Linked DNA regions of Saccharomyces cerevisiae S288C. Changing the gene in region 3 together with the main gene of any one other region gives a genetic interaction. Each region holds a gene or a part of one and is shown on either strand. Other genes may lie near its edges.

Evidence for each region.
Region 1: mutations in YEF1 (region 3) and YLR126C together harm fitness more than expected from each alone (negative genetic interaction), as found in Saccharomyces cerevisiae (one large-scale study listed by BioGRID).
Region 2: mutations in YEF1 (region 3) and EUC1 together harm fitness more than expected from each alone (negative genetic interaction), as found in Saccharomyces cerevisiae (one large-scale study listed by BioGRID).
Region 4: mutations in YEF1 (region 3) and YBR053C together harm fitness more than expected from each alone (negative genetic interaction), as found in Saccharomyces cerevisiae (one large-scale study listed by BioGRID).

What each region holds. Positions count from the first base shown.
Region 1 is NC_001144.5:394,257-397,579, reverse strand, and holds YLR126C (putative amidotransferase), read left to right. Parts: upstream 1-2,059; coding exon 2,060-2,815; downstream 2,816-3,323. Other genes in the region: APC2 (anaphase promoting complex subunit 2), read left to right, coding at 1-1,822. UniProt on the Saccharomyces cerevisiae protein: May have a role in copper and iron homeostasis.
Region 2 is NC_001145.3:491,830-495,667, forward strand, and holds EUC1 (Euc1p), read right to left. Parts: upstream 1,964-3,838; coding exon 575-1,963; downstream 1-574. Other genes in the region: HFD1 (hexadecenal dehydrogenase), read right to left, coding at 1-163; MED11 (Med11p), read right to left, coding at 2,271-2,666; FOL3 (dihydrofolate synthase), read left to right, coding at 3,170-3,838. UniProt on the Saccharomyces cerevisiae protein: Transcription factor-like protein that binds to specific DNA motifs called ub-HS-motif associated with several locations where proteins other than histone H2B are ubiquitinated (ub-hotspots).
Region 3 is NC_001137.3:74,290-77,941, forward strand, and holds YEF1 (NADH/NAD(+) kinase), read left to right. Parts: upstream 1-1,654; coding exon 1,655-3,142; downstream 3,143-3,652. Other genes in the region: GDA1 (guanosine diphosphatase), read left to right, coding at 1-1,038. UniProt on the Saccharomyces cerevisiae protein: ATP-NADH kinase with a low phosphorylation activity of both NADH and NAD(+) to produce NADP and NADPH by using ATP.
Region 4 is NC_001134.8:339,154-342,452, reverse strand, and holds YBR053C (regucalcin), read left to right. Parts: upstream 1-1,701; coding exon 1,702-2,778; downstream 2,779-3,299. Other genes in the region: RFS1 (flavodoxin-like fold family protein), read left to right, coding at 3,101-3,299.

The DNA.
Region 1 (3,323 bases), on a different chromosome or scaffold from region 3:
TAATCAATATTGGTCTCAGTTCTCTAAATTAGTCGGTTGTCCAGAGGATGATCACGAACTGACCACTACAGTTTTCAACTGTTTTGAGTCCAATTTTCTTAGGATAAGAACGAATGAAATCTTTGATATATGCGTTTTGGCTTATCCTGATTCAAAGGTTACTTTATTGGAATTGAGGAAAATTATGAAAGATTTTAAAGACTACACAAATATTGTAACAACTTTTTTGTCTGATTTCAAGAAATACATTCTAAACCCCAGCGTAACTACGGTGGACGCTTTGTTGAGATATGTTAAAACTATCAAAGCATTTTTGGTCCTGGATCCAACAGGGAGATGCCTACATTCAATAACCACGTTTGTTAAACCTTACTTTCAGGAGCGGAAGCACTTAGTAAATGTATTGTTATACGCAATGTTGGACTTACCTGAAGAAGAACTAAAGGAGAAAATTAATTTCAATGTAGATATGAAGGCACTGCTCTCACTTGTAGACACTTTGCACGATTCTGATATCAATCAAGATACGAACATCACCAAAAGGGACAAGAATAAAAAAAGCCCCTTTCTATGGAACCTCAAGGTGAAAGGAAAGAGGGAATTGAACAAGGACCTACCAATAAGACACGCCATGCTATACGAACATATACTCAATTATTATATAGCTTGGGTACCAGAGCCTAATGACATGATTCCCGGTAACATCAAATCAAGTTATATTAAGACAAATTTGTTTGAGGTGCTTTTGGATCTATTTGAATCAAGAGAATTTTTCATATCAGAATTTCGAAATCTCTTAACCGACAGATTATTCACTTTGAAATTTTATACGTTGGATGAAAAATGGACCCGATGTTTGAAATTAATAAGAGAAAAAATAGTCAAATTCACAGAAACAAGTCATTCCAATTATATAACAAACGGTATATTAGGACTCCTAGAAACAACAGCCCCTGCAGCAGATGCAGACCAGTCGAATTTGAATAGCATTGATGTTATGCTTTGGGATATAAAATGTAGCGAGGAGCTCTGCCGTAAAATGCATGAAGTAGCCGGACTGGATCCCATAATATTTCCAAAATTTATCTCACTCCTCTACTGGAAGTACAACTGCGATACACAAGGTTCTAATGATCTTGCATTTCATTTACCAATAGATTTAGAAAGGGAGCTACAGAAGTATTCTGATATATACTCACAGCTGAAACCTGGGCGCAAGTTACAACTATGCAAAGATAAAGGAAAAGTAGAAATACAATTAGCTTTCAAAGATGGTAGGAAATTAGTGTTAGACGTTTCTTTAGAACAATGCAGCGTAATAAATCAGTTTGATTCTCCAAATGATGAGCCAATTTGTTTATCACTAGAGCAGCTTTCTGAGTCACTAAATATTGCTCCTCCCAGGCTAACTCATTTGTTAGATTTCTGGATTCAAAAAGGTGTGCTTTTAAAAGAAAATGGAACCTATTCCGTTATTGAACATAGCGAGATGGATTTTGATCAAGCACAAAAGACCGCCCCAATGGAGATTGAGAACAGTAACTATGAACTACATAACGATTCTGAGATAGAAAGAAAATATGAATTGACACTTCAAAGAAGTCTGCCATTCATCGAAGGAATGCTGACTAATTTAGGCGCAATGAAACTTCATAAGATCCATTCTTTTTTGAAAATTACCGTGCCAAAAGATTGGGGATATAACCGAATTACTCTTCAACAATTAGAGGGATATTTAAACACTCTGGCCGATGAGGGTAGGCTGAAGTACATTGCCAATGGTTCATATGAAATAGTGAAAAATGGGCATAAAAACTCATGATTGAGGTGCAGTTTTTTACACGACTGCCACGAACAATCTCTTTTTGTCGCAAAATGTCAACGCGCGCCAAAGTGGGAAGTGGCAGATGAGGTGTACAGAAGAAAAGACAGATAAGGTTTATAATTTCACATAGATAATTGAGAAAGTTTGAAATATATACCGCTATAGCTCTGAAAATTATGCATTAACATATATTAGAATTGAATTATATCAAAAAAATACTAAGAAAACATCATAATGACAGTAAAAAAAATAGCTATTCTTTATACAGATGAAGATAACGAATGGAGTAAACCATGGGGCAATTTTGTTGATATGGCTATCAAGCTATTAGAACAGACCAGGAAATTGGAATGTATCGCAGAAGATGTCGAATATGAAGTGTTCCACGTACAAAAAAACGTGTTCCCTCAATTGTCAGATCTTCAGAAAGATGAGTATTTAGGCATATACATCACTGGTTCAAAATATGATTCATTTGATAATGAAATTGAATGGATTATGAAATTAAGAAGTTTCTTAAATGAGATGCTAACTAGCAAGACTGAATATCCGCCCGTAGCTGGAATATGTTTTGGTCATCAAGTTATCGCGGCTGCTCTAGGAAGTTCAGTTGGACGGAATCCGAAAGGGTTTGAAGGTGGGGTTGTGTCACTAAAACTGAACTCTGTGGGTCAAAAGTTATTTGGTGCTCAAGAATTAAATCTTTCTGAAGTGCACAGTGACTGCGTGTTCGATGTCCCAGAGGGATACCAAAATTGGGCGTCAAGTGAAAAATGTCAAAACCAAGGATTTTACAGGCAAAACAGAGTGCTGACGTTTCAAGGACACCCTGAATTCAATAGTGATGTCGCTCAGAAGGGGCTTTTGAAGTCTCAAGACAAGCTTACCCTTGAAGAGTTTAATAGATACGAAAGACAGTGCCAGGAGCTGGATAACAATGGCATACAAGCTGCCAGGAATATTTGGAGGTTATTCTTGCAAAAAATATGAAACAGCTGCTTGGGTTATATAGTCGATAGAGGACGTATAGGAAAGATAGCTTATAAGGTTTTTTTTTTTTTCAATTTCAACTAGTGTTGCATGAAGGCCTCGCTACGTCATTTCCTTCATTTCCCAGAATTCTGCAGAAACTTTATCAAATCACTCCAATGATCAGTATCCGAAGGTTCGGCACTACATAGTTTCGTTTATTAAGTCCAATAAATAAGCTTTTTTGTATGCACTTTTTTTTCGCTCATGCATAATGGATATAGCTGACTGAATGTCAGTAGTAATATCTGCGAGAAAATATGACACTAATTCTTGAGGTTTGTTGATTTACGTAATATGGTCCTCGTATAGTTAGAACGTTGTTCTAAAGAGCTAATGGCAGTTTCACTGCAGCGACCAAACAGGCAAGTTACACTCTCTGAGAACTAAACTTCTTGAATTGATGTCTGACCACGTTGGCATTTCCCAGTAAATTCAATAGGCTCAAATTAGCGGAAGAAAGCAATTT
Region 2 (3,838 bases), on a different chromosome or scaffold from region 3:
TTTTCAACTGCAACTGCCTGAATTCTAGATCTTTTTTCCTTGGGTTATTTTCGTGGGACAATTTCAATTGTTTCTCAAAGAAGAAATTTCTTGAGATTTCAACTATTTCATCTATTTTAGACACTGGGGTATAATTCAATATTTTTGAGCCGTCGTTTGACATGTTGGTGATAAATTACTATGGCTATGGTTTTAGAATATTCCTTTTAGATAATCAATATGCCTGAAGTTTTGTTTTTTATATATGGAGTATCCGTTTATCCCTAAAATCCGAAGAATCTCCTCCTAAAACGACAAAAAAAAGGGTAAGCAATCCACCATCTAATTAAATCACTAATATTAGATTGAATTTTCGAACCTATCTAAAAGTGGGATCTTGATGTAAAATTGACTGATAGATAAAAGGCTTGGAGTCGATAGTTGATATATCAGTACACCGGTAATTGTCTATTATATACCCTGTTGGCATGAAATCCATATAGGACGGTATATATTTATATATAAAATGCATGTAAAAATCTTTCATCATGAACTACTCGGAATTTTTGGCTGGAAATTCGTTGTTCCATTTCCTCTAAGTGTCTTGATCATGTTCTGGTGTGCCTGTACTGGAATTTGGTATACTATGTGGCTGCTGTAATGATAATCTAGCTTCTCTCTCTTCTAACAAGAAAATTCTTCTTGGCTTCCCTCTTCTCTTTAGAGTAAGTGAATAGTCTTCGAGTTTGTCCATTTTTTTGGAGAAGTATTCGTATAACTGGGACATTGATAATCGGCAATGATGTCCTTTGAAGGTATTGTTTCCCAATCTTATATTTTCGACAACCTTGATGGCTTGGTTTCTACTTATTTTATTCTCAGGTAGCGACAAACCATATTTGCTTGGATCATCTTTTATATCTATTATTCTTTTTATGATGGTCATTCTTTTAGTGAACAAAGTCCTTTCTTTGGCAGATCGCCTCCAAGTGGACCCATATCTCCTCTCAAGGGAAAGAACTGACGGTTGGCCCGGTAAGCCTTCAAAGTATTCACGGGCCGCATCTGTAACGTTCTGGATTGCACGATTTAGTTTATATGACGTTCCAACGCACCCTCTTCTGTTTCTGATATCATTCTCGTTTCCTGTTCCATCGAGTTGGTTATTACTGTCATCAGCATTGCTAACAGAATCGGGGTTATTTAAAGGTAGGTTCCTGGTGGTAGCGTTCTCATCACTTTCATTACCATCGTATTCCCCATTTTCAAAGTCTGACAGCCCTGGCTCAGGCTTGATACGAGGATCGCCGGCTAATATGCTTGCGTGCATACTATATTCTTGCCAGTTTGTTGATCTTGACTGACTTTGATGAGCTTGCGTACTTGTTGATGGATTTCCAACACGAGCAGCTTCCTGAGGAGTAACATTTTCCCCAGTATGGTCTATAAATCTTATTCTCTCCCCAGTCATAATACCAACTACCTCTTTGAAGACTTCTTTCATTGCGGAAACATCTTCAACATACTTATTGATGTCTTTAAATCCTTTCTCCAACTTCTTTTGATTCTCTAGAAAGAAGAGTTCTTGTTCCTTTTTCATTAGGCTGATTTCTTCCTTCAGATTGGCATTTTGCTCCTCCATTCTGGTTAGTTGTGCTATAAGAAATGCATTGAAATTTGTTTCAGGGGTTTCTTTTATCCTTCCAGGGCCTATTCTGTTGGTCGGTTCTGTTGCCGATGCTGATGTGGATGTAGACACTATGGGAGGTTGAGCAGCGTCTGTCGGTCTGAAAAGAGGATTGATACGGCCTGGGATCATGTACCTATTTAATGCAGCATGTCTTGATACTCCTGTTGGACTTGTGGTTATAGTTCGCTGCCCTAGATCGTGATTCCTGCGTTCAGAATCTCTATCTGAATCATCATCGTCCAACGAGCCGTACCCACCAAAACCTTCTACATAGTTATATTCTCGAGCGGGCATGTTTAATTAATGTGTTGACTCCTGGACTAACTTCTCGATGGCACAAAATGTAGTCTTCTGGCAAAAGACGAAGTTGATTGTTAAATATTTTAAGCTAGCAATGCCCTTTGTACTCTCGTTTGTGTTTGAGTTTCAAGTACGCTTCCTTTTTTTAATTTTTTTACTAATACTAAACTCGTTCTCTTTAGACAATACTGGTTGAAGTAAAGTAAATGCTATATCATCATATGGAATATGATATCCCTGTGATGTTTATATAATTATACATTTGTACTTGATACAAAAGTGTTCTAGTCCTAATTAAGGTTTACTTGGATTTCGAAGGATCTAATATAGCCGACAATAAATCCAATTGTTCTTCCATTTTTTCTGTGTCTTGGCCTAGGGCCTTCTTGTTGACATTGATGGGCAGTAGTCGTGTTCCAACGTTCTCATCCAACAACTGTATCTCCTTGCGTAGCTGTGTGGTTGATTTATCTAGTCGTTCGTAAAACTGTTTGACATGATTTTCGAATTGGGGTTTCACTGATTCATTACCTCTTTTTAGTTCACCAAATATGAACGTGACTTGAGACGCCTCCTGCAACATGGAGCATAACTGGGTCTCTATATCATTTAATGACTTAAGACGTTCTTGTATATATGGTGGCTGCATTGTTTCGTTTTCTTGTTTCGTTTCACTCTTCGTATTGAGAACCTGCATCGTTGTTCATTTGGATTTGATAGCGTCCTTCTAATAAGCGCGCCTCTGGCTTGATGAGAAGATTTGAATCGAATTAGCAGATCTAACGACTGGGTCAAAAAACCGCTAAGATGAGGGCCTGCATACTGTCCAAGTCAGATTTTCGTACTCATTCGATTACTTTCAAAATATAAAAGCCGCCGCAATGAGCGACTTAAATCAAGTTTTTAAAATGTCCAATATACATATATATAAATAAAGTCAAGATTTTTTTATCACTGGATGTTTCAAAGCTTCTCATACGGTGGCTACGTCCTGGTTACCATATTTCTTGTGTTATATATATTATTTATAGGCCCTTCTACAACATTGGTTAGTTCGGGTGTTTTCCTCTATGAATAATTGTTATTTAAAAATTGAGCAGAAAAACTCAGGATTGTTTATAATGTAAATGTTTTGAATAGACCGATAAGGTCACCTGTTAGTAAGTTGATCTAGTGTATTTATTGTATTTTGCTATATCAATGGCCATTGAATTGGGACTTTCCCGTATTACAAAACTACTAGAGCATTTAGGCAATCCGCAAAACTCACTTAGAGTGCTGCACATTGCAGGGACAAATGGTAAAGGTTCAGTATGTACTTACCTATCTTCTGTGTTGCAACAAAAGTCCTACCAAATTGGAAAATTTACCACTCCACACTTGGTGCATGTTACTGATTCCATTACAATCAACAATAAGCCGATTCCGTTAGAGAGATACCAGAATATTAGATTACAACTAGAAGCTTTAAACAAGTCACACTCTTTAAAATGTACGGAATTCGAGCTATTAACATGTACCGCATTCAAATATTTTTATGATGTGCAGTGCCAATGGTGTGTCATAGAAGTAGGCCTTGGCGGAAGACTTGATGCGACCAATGTTATTCCAGGCGCAAATAAGGCATGTTGTGGTATTACTAAAATCAGTTTGGATCATGAAAGCTTTTTAGGTAACACCTTGTCTGAAATCTCTAAAGAGAAAGCAGGTATAATAACAGAAGGGGTACCCTTCACAGTGATTGATGGAACCAATGAGGCAAGTGTTATAAATGTTGTGAAAGAAAGATGCAAGGCTTTAGGGTCTGAACTATCCGTTACAGATTCTCAACTTAACGGAAATATGATTGACACCAACTCCTGGGGTTGT
Region 3 (3,652 bases):
GGCCTAAGACTCTTGGGTGATGCCAAATCTTCAAAAATTTTGAGCGCTGTAAGGGATCATTTGGAGAAGGACTATCCTTTCCCAGTTGTCGAAGGTGATGGTGTTTCCATCATGGGCGGTGATGAAGAAGGTGTCTTCGCCTGGATTACTACAAACTACCTATTAGGTAATATCGGTGCTAATGGCCCCAAGTTACCTACTGCTGCCGTTTTTGACTTAGGCGGAGGGTCTACACAAATTGTTTTTGAGCCTACTTTCCCAATAAATGAAAAAATGGTCGATGGTGAGCATAAATTTGATTTGAAGTTTGGTGATGAAAATTACACCTTGTACCAATTTTCTCATCTAGGTTACGGTTTGAAGGAAGGAAGAAATAAAGTTAACTCTGTTCTTGTGGAAAATGCATTAAAAGACGGCAAAATATTGAAGGGTGATAACACTAAGACTCATCAATTGTCATCTCCATGCCTACCGCCTAAAGTTAATGCCACAAATGAAAAGGTTACATTAGAATCCAAGGAAACTTATACCATTGACTTTATAGGGCCGGACGAGCCAAGTGGTGCACAATGTAGATTTCTGACTGATGAAATTTTGAATAAAGATGCTCAGTGCCAGTCTCCACCATGCTCTTTCAATGGGGTTCACCAACCTTCTTTAGTTCGTACATTCAAAGAATCGAACGATATCTATATTTTCTCTTATTTCTACGACAGAACCCGTCCATTGGGTATGCCCTTGTCCTTTACTTTGAATGAATTGAACGATTTGGCAAGAATAGTGTGTAAAGGCGAAGAAACTTGGAATAGTGTCTTCAGTGGCATTGCGGGGTCCCTAGATGAATTGGAAAGTGACTCGCACTTCTGTTTGGACTTATCTTTTCAAGTGTCCTTATTACATACGGGATATGACATTCCATTACAAAGAGAATTGAGAACTGGAAAGAAAATTGCCAATAAAGAAATCGGTTGGTGTTTAGGTGCGTCATTACCATTGTTGAAAGCTGATAACTGGAAATGTAAAATTCAATCAGCTTGAATAAGAACATGGACACCGCTTTTCGTCCCATGTATATTAAGGAAGAGGAGATTGCGGTGATATGTATTCTGTTATATGTCCTATTCTATAACCCTTGAACAATATGTAAACGATTTTTACGTTATGAAAATCACTATTATCCCCACAATAGTTTATTATAACACCGCCGCCAAGACAGGGGATTGAAAAGGCCTTCCGAGGTTTATCCATTTTTGGTAAAAGCCCGCCACGCCTTCAGGTGTTTGAGTATGAACTGGAAGAGTTATCTGTTAGGACCTCATAATCTTGAACATATGAGATAATTTAATATACTTTTGTTATGGATTGTTCCGTTGTTTTAAGACTATATGGCTTTGTTTTAGTTTTAGGGTGATTGTGGATATCACACCGGTCCTCAAGAAAATCGAAAACAAAAGGATAATCGGACTTATCTGGTGATCGAAGAAACTGCATTTCAGGTCGTTTAATAAACTGCTAGCTATTGATATTATATATATAAATAAACCTACAATCAGGTTAGTGTATTCATCTCACTTCTATAGCGTTGTGAAAGGGAAATGGAAATAGTGCAATCTCAATAAATCTGCTTACGTGACATTTTTTACTAAAAGAGAATATGAAAACTGATAGATTACTGATTAACGCTTCCCCGGAGACATGTACCAAGGGAGATGCTGAGATGGATACTATGGATACTATTGACAGAATGACATCAGTTAAAGTTTTAGCGGAAGGCAAGGTATTAAGCAACTTCGAAGAACCGGGCTTAATGAGGTGCGGTTATCATGATGCAAAAAACTGGGTCAGAAGATTATCGAGCGAAACAATTGTCGGTGAGGACACGAGTAATTTATACCCATTTTATGTTGATACTGCATACGATGTAAGGCGTTTGAGAAAGGATCTTATAAATGCTAAGGTTGACTTGCAGGTTGAAAACCTGATAATAATCTGCAATATTAATGATATTTCCACTGTATTTCTCATGAGAGAAGTGGTGGAATGGATCTTACGCAATTTCCATTCAATAACTGTATATGTACAAGATATTTTTAAAAAGTCAACTCAGTTTGCTGTTGGTGACCTCTGCAAAGACAGCAATTGCAGTAAAAACAGAGTAAAGTATTGGTCAAAAGAATTTGTTAAAAAACACGATTCATTCTTTGACTTGATGATTACACTAGGGGGTGATGGAACTGTCCTTTTTGCTTCATCTATATTCACGAAAGATGTTCCGCCGATTGTTCCATTTGCCCTTGGATCATTAGGATTTCTAACAAATTTTGAATTTCAAAATTTCAAAGAAACGTTGAAACATATCTTAACAGATGAGGTTCGTATTAATTTACGAATGAGGTTGCAATGCAAACTCTACCGTAGAAATAAACCAGAAATTGATGCCGCAACTGGGAGAAAAATATGTTACATCGATTTCATCTCCGAACATCACGTATTGAACGAAGTAACCATAGATAGAGGTCCAGCTCCTTGTTTATCCCTATTAGAACTCTATGGAAACGACTCACTAATGACTAAGGTTCAGGGAGATGGATTGATTGTTGCCACGCCTACGGGATCCACGGCATACTCATTGAGTGCAGGAGGCTCTTTAATATCGCCAAGCGTAAATGCCATAGCGGTGACGCCTATATGTCCTCATACTTTGAGCTTTAGGCCTATAATTTTACCAGATAGCATGGAATTAAAAGTTAGAGTAGATATGAACTCAAGAGGGACGTCGTGGGTGAATTTTGACGGAAAAGATAGAGTTGAATTGAAACAGGGTGACTATGTTGTGATAACTGCAAGCCCCTATTCGGTACCGACTATCGAGTCATCTGCCAGTGAATTTTTTGAAAGTATCAGTAAAAATCTTAATTGGAATGACCGCGAAGAGCAGAAGCCATTTGCACATATTCTCTCGCCAAAAAATCAAGAAAAATATAGATTAGACTCATCGAAAAATGGAAACGACACCATAAGTAATCCCCTCGAGAGTTCATGCATAAGCTCAGATGCACAAGATGAGGAGAGGAAATCCGTAACGGAAACAGAAACAGAAATAGTTGTTGAACGGACTCGTCAGGCTCATTTTGCAATCTAACGATTTCCCACATCCTGCGTTTCCGTAGTCAAGGGTTCATAATGGATGATGAGCCTGTAAACAGCTTTGTATTTACCTCTTTTACTTCAAGAATGCTCTTGCGTCGTTTGCAGTGTCGAAGAAGATCCAGTAGAGCTATACAAAATGGAGAAATGAAACAGTTGAACCAGAGCGCCGCATTTGGCAGGTAGTTTCGCTAAATTTCCTCATGCGCGTTTGTAATTATGCTAGTTAACCATATGATAAGGTTGCCTAACTTGCAGTCACCGGAAGGTTATTTCCGGAATGGTGCAGAATAATTTTTAAAATAGTAGCATATATTTCGTTCCAATTCCCAAATAGGGAATTATAATTATGACAGATAAATTCCCGATTAGGAAGAAGCGCGAAAATTCTTGAAAAACTTTTTTCAACCTCGAAGAAAATCGTCGTCCTTCGAAGATTTAGTGGGAATCTTCAAGGTGGATAGTTTCCAAATTAAAACTGCAGAAGAGGCTTTTAAAACATGCC
Region 4 (3,299 bases), on a different chromosome or scaffold from region 3:
ATTTTTTTTTTTCTTCATGCTTCTTAAAGGGATTCATGCATTGGACCGGAGAAAAGTCCGCAGAACGACCACTCGAGGGTAAGAAAAAAACAGCTCAGATTTCCTATTTGAGGCAAATTATGCGGAAATTGAAGAATCGAAAATCACGGAAGTGGTACCAAAATCGGTAGGTTGTTTTCAATTTACCCTTTTTTTCCATTCCCTCATTTAGAACCCATAGCGAGGTCGAAATATCCCTTAGCCATTGGTGTGATGTCTATAGTTATTTCCCTCAGTCAACCCAAAGCAAGATTTACATTGTGTTAACGTATGCCGTGATATGAACAAACACACCGGCCTACATAGCTAAGTTAATCAAAGAAGGTGTAGATAAACTAGGTTACATAACTGCCTATTGGCAAGCTTTCTTGCTATCTTAACAGCAAAGCTCTTAAGTCGTGATCTTCTCTTCTGATTCTCTTCCGATGGCATATAGATTTGAAGACGACAAGGAAAGCTAAGCAACTTCCTAGTTTTCGTCTAAAAAAACCGAAGGTTTTTCCGGTGATTTTCGGAAACATGCAGAAGAGTCCTTAGAAATCTTAGGTAAATTCACTCGGCATGTCTGCTAAAGATCGGTCTAGGCCATGCGCGTAAAACGGGAAAGGGTTCGCTCAATGGCAGATGCTGCCATACGAGGACACAACCAAGATGAGGCCTCCCAAAGCGGTACTCGCGTTAAGAAAGAAGGGCTTTGGAGGCAACCGGGTAGGGTGTCTTCTTTGTAAAGTTTGTCTAATGTTGGAGAATGGTTGCCACCCGGGGAAGAAAACTGCTCAGGGCGGATAACAGGAAAATAACATGTTGCGTGCACTTGTTTCCGTTGAAGGGAGATGGAAAGACTACTTAAAACAAAGTAAAGAAAAACATCTCAAAAATATTGAGAGAAAATGTGGTCCAGGAACCAAAGATGGTATACTATTTTGCTTTAGTTTATTTTTGCCTTCTTGTTTAATTATTACTCAATTGGTATATGTAATTGAGTAAATATACAAATTGTAGCTTGTGTTTTTGTTTTTCACAAATGACATCGGTATGTATTTTTCAACATATCTTCGCCATTTCTGTGAGCTATTCCGAACACCGCTTGAAACGATTTGTATTTTGCACAATCGTCATCGAAGTTCAAAAGTCAATTGCTTTTCCTAATAGAGTTAAAAGTCGGTCTACGAAAGTAAAATGTATACTCAGTAAGAGCGGTCTTTGTCTACAGTTCTCCAAAGTGGTAGTTATATCGGGAATGGGTAAATGCATTACACAACAACAAGGAGTTCTAAAAGAGTAACTGTGAACGCCAAAGGAAAAGATATAAAAAAAGTATGTCCCTTTTTAATACCTTTTTCGTTAAGCCGCTACAGCTACCTCTTGACTAACTGAGAAGCTGAATGGATAAGGAACAAAATCGTACGTAAATTTTCTCATCCATTTTACTTGGTCAACAGATTCTATAATTGTAAAGCTGTAGCTTGCACTTGATTTTGTTCCTAGAAATGCATTCAAAATTATTTAATGGTCGCCAAGAACAGCTAGGTGAAAGTTTACCCGGTCGGGCTTTAAGGGGAAGCCAATGCTTATTCAAAGCATATGGACATATATGAAGATGTCCTGTAAGATTCTTAGATTAAGTTTATATGCATTGAGCAACTAGACACTTTTCGTAAAATGAGTAGTGTTGGCGATTTTGAAGAAATTATTTTGCATGATTTAAAACCTTATTATCACGTTCCCGGTGCCATACATAGTGAAGGAATAACCTTCGTTAAGGAAACCGGTACACTGTTGTGGGTTGATATTTTTAAAGGAGAGGTTCATAAAGTCGAAGACATAGAACAGCCTGAATCCAGTCATTCTTTTTTTTCCATTAGTAGAGCCAATTATGGCAAGAATGCGTCAATTGAGTACCCTCCCAATCCAGATGAATTAAAAGAATCCGTGGGCTGTATATTTCCAATACTTGATGGGGCTTCACAAAATGAAATCAAACAAGTATTATTTGGTAGTAAATTTGGCATAGGAAAATTGGATTTTAGCAAAAGTGAATGGGAATATGTCATTTTGTATTCCGAATGTCCTGAATTGAGTACAGACAGAGCATATAAGTTGAGATCTAATGATGGGAACGTTTCGCCAGATGGAAAATATATTTATGTGGGGCTAATGAGCGATTTTCCATTTGATTTGGAACCTATTGGGTGTTTGCTTCGTGTTGACCTATTAGCTCACAAGATAGAGCTTGTTTGGAATTGCTTGTTAATTCCTAACGCGATCCACTGGGATGAAAGTGATCAAAAGACGATGTACGTGACTGATTCTTTAAACTTCACTATTTGGAAATGTCCTGGTGGCGACTTGCTAAAACGTGACGAGTTAATTGACGTGAAGAACTCCAACAATCAATCTTTTGAGTCTCCTGAACCAGATGGAAGTGCAATTTGGTTTAGCAAAGACGGAAAACATTCTGGGTTTCTGTTTATCACTGTCTGGTCCACCAGTAAGGTTCAAATGTTCGATTTAACTAACGGAAAATTGCTGAAGGAGTTCATTTTGCCGGAGCAGACACCAAGAGTTTCATGTTGTTGTTTTGTTGGTAAAGATCTCTTCGTGACCACTGCCAATGCAGAAATCAACGATGCTGTAAGAACCAATACTGACAAGAATGGTGGCTGCATCTACAAAATTCCAAACGTGCTAGACGGAAATGTTCCTCTGGAATCTACAAAGCGACAACCTCTCCACTAGGTGTATATACATATGTTTATATATATGCAGCATACGTATCCAGCGCATGTAACTAGCGTCATATGACACCGCTTATGGGCAAATTGAAGCGAAGCTCCCAAACTTGTCCTTATACATCGAATAATAGCCGTTCCATTTTGGTTGCCTAGTTATAAGGAGGGAACACCTAAGGGGCGGACAATCAAAAATACATAAAAGAGCGGAAAAGAAAAGAAATAAAAAGAAACCACATTTTATATCACACTTTTCTCGAGAAACATCGAACATCAAGACCTCCAGCATACTACTCACTATTATAAGCACATACTACGCCACATAGATAATGCCGAAAGTCGCTATTTTGATTTATTCAGTGGACGATATAATTGCCACATTAGCAGAAAATGAAAAAAAAGGTATAGAGATAGCTGGTGGTGAGGCTGAGATTTTCCAAGTGCCAGACGTCAGCTATAAAACTGAATATGCGACAGAAGAGGGAAAAGAGGCAGCCAAAGTCGCCAAAACTAATGCAGATTTTTCCT